Arabidopsis thaliana: one gene and its partner. The protein of the gene in region 1 interacts with the protein of each later gene in a pairwise test. Each region holds a gene or a part of one and is shown in the gene's direction. Other genes may lie near its edges. The genes, in order: SDR1 and AT3G59740.

Evidence for each region.
Region 2: the proteins of SDR1 (region 1) and AT3G59740 interact in a protein complementation assay, tested with the Arabidopsis thaliana proteins (one large-scale study listed by BioGRID).

What each region holds. Positions count from the first base shown.
Region 1 is NC_003074.8:22,660,705-22,664,923, forward strand, and holds SDR1 (NAD(P)-binding Rossmann-fold superfamily protein), read left to right. Parts: upstream 1-2,172; 5' UTR 2,173-2,320; coding exon 2,321-2,686; intron 2,687-2,787; coding exon 2,788-2,853; intron 2,854-2,966; coding exon 2,967-3,137; intron 3,138-3,231; coding exon 3,232-3,612; downstream 3,613-4,219. Other genes in the region: PLIM2c (GATA type zinc finger transcription factor family protein), read right to left, coding at 3,897-4,219.
Region 2 is NC_003074.8:22,066,470-22,071,141, reverse strand, and holds AT3G59740 (Concanavalin A-like lectin protein kinase family protein), read left to right. Parts: upstream 1-2,083; coding exon 2,084-4,063; 3' UTR 4,064-4,155; downstream 4,156-4,672. Other genes in the region: AT3G59750 (Concanavalin A-like lectin protein kinase family protein), read left to right, coding at 1-1,287.

The sequences.
Region 1 (4,219 bases):
AATTTTTCAGATCACCAACTTCAGAATATGAATCTGATTTTTATAAGAGAGGATCTGTTGGATTTAAAGAACTGCCATGGTAATATCATCACATATTCACATCCTCTTCGTTTTTCTATCGTTTTCTGTTTTTGCTCTTAAATAATTTATTTTTCGATTTCATGAACCACCAGGTTGTGAATAAACCAAATTGGCCAATTCCAGTATTGAATTTTATATCCATTTGATCAGCTTGTTTGGTATCATATGATTTTGGCTCGATAAATTGATAATATCGTTGAACTTCTAAGTTAAGAGTATTTTACTTTGCATACGAGAATCAATTATTTCCACATGGTCACGTCTAAGTGGACATGTTATTATCAAAGCTTCCAACACGATTTCATTATGTAGAAACTAATAATCATATAGGTCTCCAAAACACAAGAACAATCTGTAGACATTACTTTCAAACATCAACACGCTAAATCCAAGTAGATAATGATAGTTTGTGTCCATGATAACTCATCCACTTAAACTTGACCATATGGAGTAATGGTGAAACATGACAAACACTTGAACACAAATGATTCATGTTTAGAGCTTTCATCAATTATAATTTGAATGAATAAGAGTATCATTGGTGATGCAAGAATCACAACTTGGTCAAAACAAATCATACCAACACACAAAAGTTCATACATCAATGAATATCACCAATTTCACGAGTAGCGTCCATTTTTTGTTGACCACTAGTTCACTTGTTTATAGACACTCTCATCGTTATGTGGGTTGATCACTTGTTTATAGACACATATGCTGCAAACAAAATACGTGGTTGTCCATTACGGATTGTCCAAATGTTGTAGTCCAATAGAGAACATCAAGTACTGAATTTCAAACAAACGGGGCAGAGAAGTTATCTAACATTATCATAGAATTATGAACAAGATCACCAAACACTTGGAAGCTTTTAGTAAACCAAACCATTAATCTTTAGTTTTATAGGAGAAATAACCACACAAAAATCAAGGGATGCACTTCACTCCTCCATATCAAACCTAAAGAGATAAATGTGTCTCAATCAAATACTATATATGTGTAAATTGACGCTAATACTCTCCACTAGCAAAATCAAAGTCTGAATAAATCGTTCAAATCAATCTAATTTCATCATAAGAGTTAAGGTTAGTTTATACCTTCAATTCCAAACAATTTCAATTCCACAATCAATCAAATCCACAATCTCACAACAATTTTTCAAATTTCTGCAACATTGAAACTTCCTGCATCTCGTCACATCAAACTTTCCACTATACCGATTCTAGAAACTTCCAATAACATCAAAACCAGACTATGACACCTCAAAAACACGAAGAATCACGAAGCAAGACAAAAGTAAACATGAATGGAGATGAGTAAACTCAAATCACCTTGAGTTTATGAACGACGACGACGTCAGAAGCGCCGGTGATGTTGATCAAGCGGTCGATAACGTTCTAACTCATGTCGCCATAAGAAAGAAGATATGAAGAATCAATTTGAGCGAGAAGCTTGGTTCACAACAATTGATTGATTGTGAAATTTTGTTTTTGGAGTGAGGAAGGAGAAAAGAAAAAAGATTTTGTTTTGTTGTTGTGAAATTACCGTGAACCGATGGATTGAATTGGGGGAGATGGATTGAATTGGAGGGGGGGAAGAGAGAGAGAGATGAATTGTATCGAGAAAGAGAGAGAATTATAATAAGAAGAATTGTTAGCGTAAATGTAGGAGAGATATAGTTAAAGGGCAAATCGAGAATTTTGTCTAACAAAAGTGTCTCATAACTTAAAAATGCCTAAATCGACAAATAACTTTTTAAAAGTGTCTCACAATATAATATTCTCTAAAATAAATTATAATAACTTGTAAGTTTGTAATTAACCATCGCCCAAATATGATAACTATCATCAGTAACGTTTTGTTCCAAACAAATTGCCTTTATTAACGAAAACAAATTGCCTTTATTAACGTTTTGTTCCAAACAAATATAATAACTTTAGTTATCTCAAATATGTGTCAATATAATGCAAGAAAAAGAAAAAAAAACTGTAAATTATGAAAATCGACGTCACAGGTAAATATACTAACATGTTCAACTTTAAATAATGCAAGACTAAAACAACGGCGTCGGATTAGAAGTCTAATCTCCCATGAACATCAATTTCTGAGCTACGTGGCTTCGTTTGCCTCCACATTTCTTCGTATGGTTTCTGTGCATTCACTGCATGCGCATAAGAAAAAAAGAAACGCCAATTATTGATATTCTTTGTCTAAAACCCAGAAATAAAAAGGTTCGAAAATGGCAGAGGAAACTCCAAGGTATGTCTTAAATCTTCTCTTAGTTCTTGATTTAGTCTGTAATCTTAGTGAGTTTGGTTCTGATTTTCTCAGATTGTTTAATGGTTTTTGTAGATATGCTGTAGTTACTGGAGCAAACAGAGGGATTGGATTTGAGATATGCAGACAATTAGCTAGTGAAGGGATTAGAGTTGTTTTGACCTCTAGAGACGAAAACAGAGGACTTGAAGCTGTTGAGACACTGAAGAAAGAGCTTGAGATTTCTGATCAAAGCCTTCTTTTTCATCAGCTTGATGTCGCTGATCCTGCTAGTATCACATCTCTTGCTGAGTTTGTGAAAACCCAATTTGGGAAACTCGATATCTTGGTAGGCATTATTAGTAAACTCTCTTTGATCAGTTTACTCTGAAACAGGTCTTAGACTTTACAGTTTCAAACGTGGTTTTGACTAGAATGATTGCTTTACAGGTCAATAATGCAGGGATTGGTGGTATAATCACTGATGCTGAAGCTTTAAGAGCTGGGGCAGGGAAAGTATGAGATAATCTTTGTGATTATTTTGCAAGCAATTACTTTCATGATATTATTAGTATTGATGATCTTCTGTGAAGTATTTAAATGTTTTCTTGTTATATTCGACATGGCAGGAAGGTTTCAAGTGGGATGAAATCATCACGGAGACTTATGAGTTAACTGAAGAATGCATCAAGATAAACTACTATGGACCAAAGAGAATGTGTGAGGCGTTTATTCCTCTTTTGAAGTTATCTGATTCACCAAGAATCGTCAATGTATCATCCTCCATGGGTCAACTAAAGGTAAGTAAGAAAAGATTAGATATCAAGGAAGCTTGAGAGATGTATTGTTGGCTAAGAAACACTATTTATGTTACAATTGATTATTGTTTACCAGAATGTACTAAACGAATGGGCAAAAGGAATCCTGAGCGACGCAGAGAATCTCACTGAGGAAAGAATCGACCAAGTGATCAACCAACTTCTCAATGATTTCAAAGAAGGTACAGTTAAGGAAAAAAACTGGGCTAAATTTATGTCGGCTTATGTGGTTTCAAAGGCAAGTTTGAATGGTTACACGAGGGTCCTGGCGAAGAAACATCCCGAGTTTCGCGTAAACGCTGTGTGTCCTGGATTTGTTAAGACAGATATGAACTTCAAGACTGGAGTCTTGTCTGTGGAAGAAGGAGCTTCAAGTCCTGTGAGGTTGGCTTTACTTCCGCATCAAGAAACTCCTTCTGGTTGTTTCTTTAGTCGCAAGCAAGTTTCAGAATTCTGAATCTTCTTTTGTGTGAGAATAATAAGCCAAAAATGTAGTAATTTAATGAGAGGATTATCGTTTGAATGTCGAACATATACTCTTAGATAAACAAAAACTTTTATGAGATGTTTTGGTAATTACTCATAAACTTGAATATAATTACTTTACAAACAGAATAATATATAGTTCCATAAGAAGAAACTAAACAAAATTTGAGTCTACTTCATTGCATTAGTTAAGAAATTATCTCTTTAACAATTTATGATTATATATATTTCACAAAAGGAACTCCCGGATATTTCTTAGGATTCATGTTCTTCAGCTGCTGCATCAGAAGTTTCTTCTTCTGTAGGGTTTGCTTCATCTTCTTTGGGTTCGGTTTTGTCTTCCTCAGCCGTCGAGCGACGGTGGTTAGCCGCGGCTTGGAGGACATGATTGTAATTACCTTTCTCAAGGAAAAGCTGGCTGAAGTGGACCTTACAGTAAAGGACGCCATCGAGAGCAGCATATGAAGAATGTGTTAATGGACAACCACTATGTGCACATCTGAAGCAAGTCTTGTGGTAAGATTCTCCTTCCATTGTCATCTTCTCTAGAGGATAAACTGTTTTCTTACAAGCTGCAC
Region 2 (4,672 bases), 590 kb from region 1:
GCATCGACTGGATCCATTGGAGCATTTCATTATATGTTGAGTTCGTACGCTACTCCAAAAGTTGAGAATCCAACATGGGAGTTCATCGTAGTCCCAACCCTTCCTCCATATCCGAAGAAATCGTCTGACAGAACAAAGAAGATTTTAGCGGTCTGCTTAACGCTTGCTGTGTTCGCTGTGTTTGTCGCCTCGGGAATCTGTTTTGTCTTCTATACGAGGCATAAGAAGGTTAAGGAGGTTCTTGAGGAATGGGAGATTCAATATGGACCTCATAGGTTTGCCTATAAGGAGCTTCTCAATGCCACAAAGGATTTCAAGGAGAAACAACTTCTTGGAAAAGGAGGCTTTGGTCAAGTCTTTAAAGGAACGCTCCCGGGTTCCAATGCAGAGATCGCTGTAAAACGGACTTCTCATGATTCAAGACAAGGCATGAGCGAGTTTCTAGCCGAGATATCGACCATTGGTCGTCTCAGGCATCCAAATCTAGTCAGGCTTCTGGGATATTGTAGGCATAAGGAGAATCTCTACTTGGTTTATGACTTTACGCCCAATGGAAGCCTTGACAAGTATCTAGACCGTAATGAGAATCAAGAACGGCTCACTTGGGAACAACGTTTCAAGATCATCAAAGATGTTGCATCTGCTCTACTACACCTGCATCAAGAATGGGTACAAATCATCATTCATAGAGATATCAAACCAGCTAATGTCCTAATCGACCACGAAATGAATGCAAGGATCGGGGATTTCGGATTGGCAAAGCTGTATGATCAGGGACTTGACCCTCAGACATCTAGAGTAGCGGGAACATTTGGTTATATCGCACCTGAGCTCCTAAGAACAGGAAGAGCGACCACAAGCACTGATGTTTATGCCTTTGGGTTGGTAATGCTTGAAGTTGTTTGTGGTAGAAGAATGATTGAGCGACGTGCACCGGAAAATGAAGAAGTTCTTGTGGATTGGATCTTAGAGCTTTGGGAAAGTGGGAAACTTTTCGATGCAGCTGAGGAAAGTATCCGTCAAGAACAAAACAGGGGAGAAATCGAGCTTCTTTTGAAGCTAGGTCTGTTGTGTGCACATCACACTGAACTGATTAGACCGAACATGAGTGCGGTTATGCAGATCTTGAATGGCGTTTCGCAGCTTCCAGATAATCTTCTTGATGTCGTAAGAGCTGAGAACTTGAGAGGAATGCCTGAAACATCAATCGAAGTACTACTTGGTCTTAATCTGTATTCAGTTGGTACAATGACATTAACAAATTCTTTCTTGTCCCATGGACGCTGAAACCGTTAAAGAAGTTAGTTTGAATGAACAGTTACATTCAAGCTTTTGTATCGTCTATTTGATGAATCACTACATTAGGGTTTCTTTATCTTGAATCAGTAAAGCCTTCCGTTTCATCCCCAAGTTCTTATATCTTAAATTTTTAGGACTCAACATATAATATGTTTTGTATTTTCTGCTTTCAAAGTTTTCTTGTTGGATTTGTTTAAGAAACCGAACTTTCAAGAGCAATGGCGTCAAAACAAAATGGCGTGAATTGCCAAATCAGTGACATATAACCAAAAACATTCTAAACTACTTTGATGTTGTTACACTACATAGGATTAATCTCAATATATAATGATCAAACCATGACAAATTAGTGACATATAACTTCACTTTTGCCTTCAGACCAGTAGAGAATTTGTTAGAATCTACACTAAATTAAAAATGTTAAACATACGTTGTTTTTTCTACAAAATGGTTGTGGAAAAATAGCTTTGTTGGATTGCTGCTTTTTAATTATGCTTTTCACACTGTTGTTATTAGTAATTTAATACTTCAAAGTATTAAGATCGTAGAAAAGTTCTGTCTTTTGACGACACGCTCTACCAGTCCCACTATAATTGCTTTACGACTTGATCTAGCTCATGTGCTTAAATACATATGTTTTTTTATTACTAACGAAGAATAACAAAAATAAAAAGAAAAAAAGAACGTTGGGTTCCCATTATTTTCGACCGTAATTCTTATGAGATGATAAATATTACATTAAGATCATAACCTTCCCATAAGCCAAAAAATAACAAACAAGAACATGTCTCATAAAGTCTTACAAATAGTTCTCGTTCTGTTGCTTACTCTGTTTTCATCTACTCACAACTCCAATGGCAACTTCCTCATGGAAGAAGCTGCAGCTGCAGGTTTAAACGGTTATTGCCTTTTAACAAACACCACGAAGCATTCCTACGGTCAAGCTTTCAACAACACTCCCGTTCCCATCAAGAACTCATCTTTCTCATTCAACATCATCTTCGGGATCGTCCCTGAACATAAGCAGCAAGGTTCACACGGTATGGCTTTCGTTTTCTCTCCTACAAGAGGCCTTCCCGGAGCTTCCCCCGATCAATACCTGGGAATCTTTAACGAGACAAACAACGGTAAAGCCTCGAATAACGTTATAGCTATCGAGTTAGATATACGAAAAGACGAAGAGTTTGGAGATATTGATGATAATCATGTTGGGATTAACATTAATGGTTTGACATCTGTTGCCTCTGCTTCTGCTGGTTACTATGATGATGAAGATGGAAACTTCAAAAAGCTTTCTTTGATCAGCACAAAGGTAATGAGGCTTTCCATCGTTTATAGTCACACCGATAAACAGCTCAATGTTACTTTATTACCTGCTGAAATCTCTGTTCCGCCACAAAAATCGCTCTTGTCTTTGAACCGAGATCTCTCGCCCTATTTTTTGGAGGAGACGTACTTGGGTTTCACGGCATCGACCGGGTCGATCGGAGCACTCTATTATGTGATGCAATTTTCCTATGAAGAAGGAGTTATATATCCAGCATGGGACCTTGGCGTAATCCCAACCCTTCCTCCATATCCAAAGAAGTCGTATGATAGAACACGGAGGATTTTAGCGGTCTGCTTAACGTTGGCCGTGTTCACTGCATTAGTCGCTTCCGGAATAGGTTTTGTCTTTTATGTGAGGCATAAGAAGGTTAAGGAGGTTCTTGAAGAATGGGAGATTCAGAATGGACCTCATAGGTTTTCTTATAAGGAGCTTTTCAATGCCACAAAGGGTTTCAAAGAGAAACAACTTCTTGGGAAAGGAGGCTTTGGTCAAGTCTACAAAGGAATGCTTCCGGGTTCCGATGCAGAGATCGCTGTAAAACGGACTTCTCATGATTCAAGACAAGGGATGAGCGAATTTCTAGCCGAGATATCGACCATTGGTCGTCTCAGACATCCAAATCTAGTCAGGCTTTTGGGATATTGTAAGCATAAAGAGAATCTCTACTTAGTTTATGACTTTATGCCTAATGGAAGCCTTGACAGGTGTCTAACCCGTAGCAACACGAATGAAAATCAAGAACGGCTTACTTGGGAACAACGTTTCAAGATCATCAAAGACGTTGCAACTGCTCTACTACACCTGCATCAAGAATGGGTACAAGTCATCGTTCATCGAGATATAAAACCGGCTAATGTTCTACTCGACCACGGCATGAATGCGAGGCTCGGGGATTTCGGATTGGCGAAGCTGTATGATCAGGGATTTGATCCTCAGACATCTAGAGTAGCGGGAACATTAGGTTATATTGCACCTGAGCTCTTAAGAACAGGAAGAGCAACCACAAGCACAGATGTTTACGCCTTTGGGTTGGTTATGCTTGAAGTCGTTTGTGGTAGAAGATTGATTGAGAGACGTGCAGCAGAAAATGAAGCGGTTCTTGTTGATTGGATTTTAGAGCTTTGGGAAAGTGGGAAACTTTTCGATGCAGCTGAGGAAAGTATTCGTCAAGAACAAAACAGAGGAGAAATTGAGCTTGTTTTGAAGCTAGGTCTGTTGTGTGCACATCACACTGAATTGATTAGACCGAACATGAGTGCGGTTTTGCAGATCTTGAATGGCGTTTCGCATCTTCCCAATAATCTTCTTGATGTTGTTAGGGCTGAGAGATTGAGAGGAATTCCTGAGACATCAATGGAAGTACTACTTGGTCTTGATCTGAATTCTTTTGGTACAATGACGTTGACGAATTCTTTTGTGTCCCATGGACGCTGAAACCATAAAAATAAGTTAGTTTTGATCAAACATTTATATTCCATCGGGAGCTTCTGTATCCGTCTATTTGATAAATGAGTACATGTTTCTGTATCTTTGAATCATGAATGCCTTCCAATTCATCCCTAAATTTCTAGGGTTTACTTTTAGGGTTATAATATGTTTGTTTCATTCTTGCTTTCAAAGTAATCTTGTTCGAATTTGTTTATAAAACCAAATTTTCAAGAGCAATGACTTATAACTTAATTAACTTTTTTTTTTCTGTAGACCAATACAAAATCTGTTAAACTTTACATTAAAACATGTCAAAAAACTTATTTTTTTTACATTTTATGGTCAACACGTTGGTTGTTAAACTTACATTGTTTATCCATTTCTACGCTCCGTAATGTTCGACGGATTAGGTTGTAGAAAAGATAAGAGAAGCTTTTTTGACCTTTTTATTTCTTTGGTAGAGATCTGAGAAGAAAAGTTTTTTTGATTATTGCTTATTATGCTTTCCACTATAATCGCTATTTAATCTTAGCAAGAATTAGAAGATTTGTTTTCTTATAATTGATTTACGACTTTATCTTGGCCATGCACAGTGCGTAATTACTAAATAGTGTA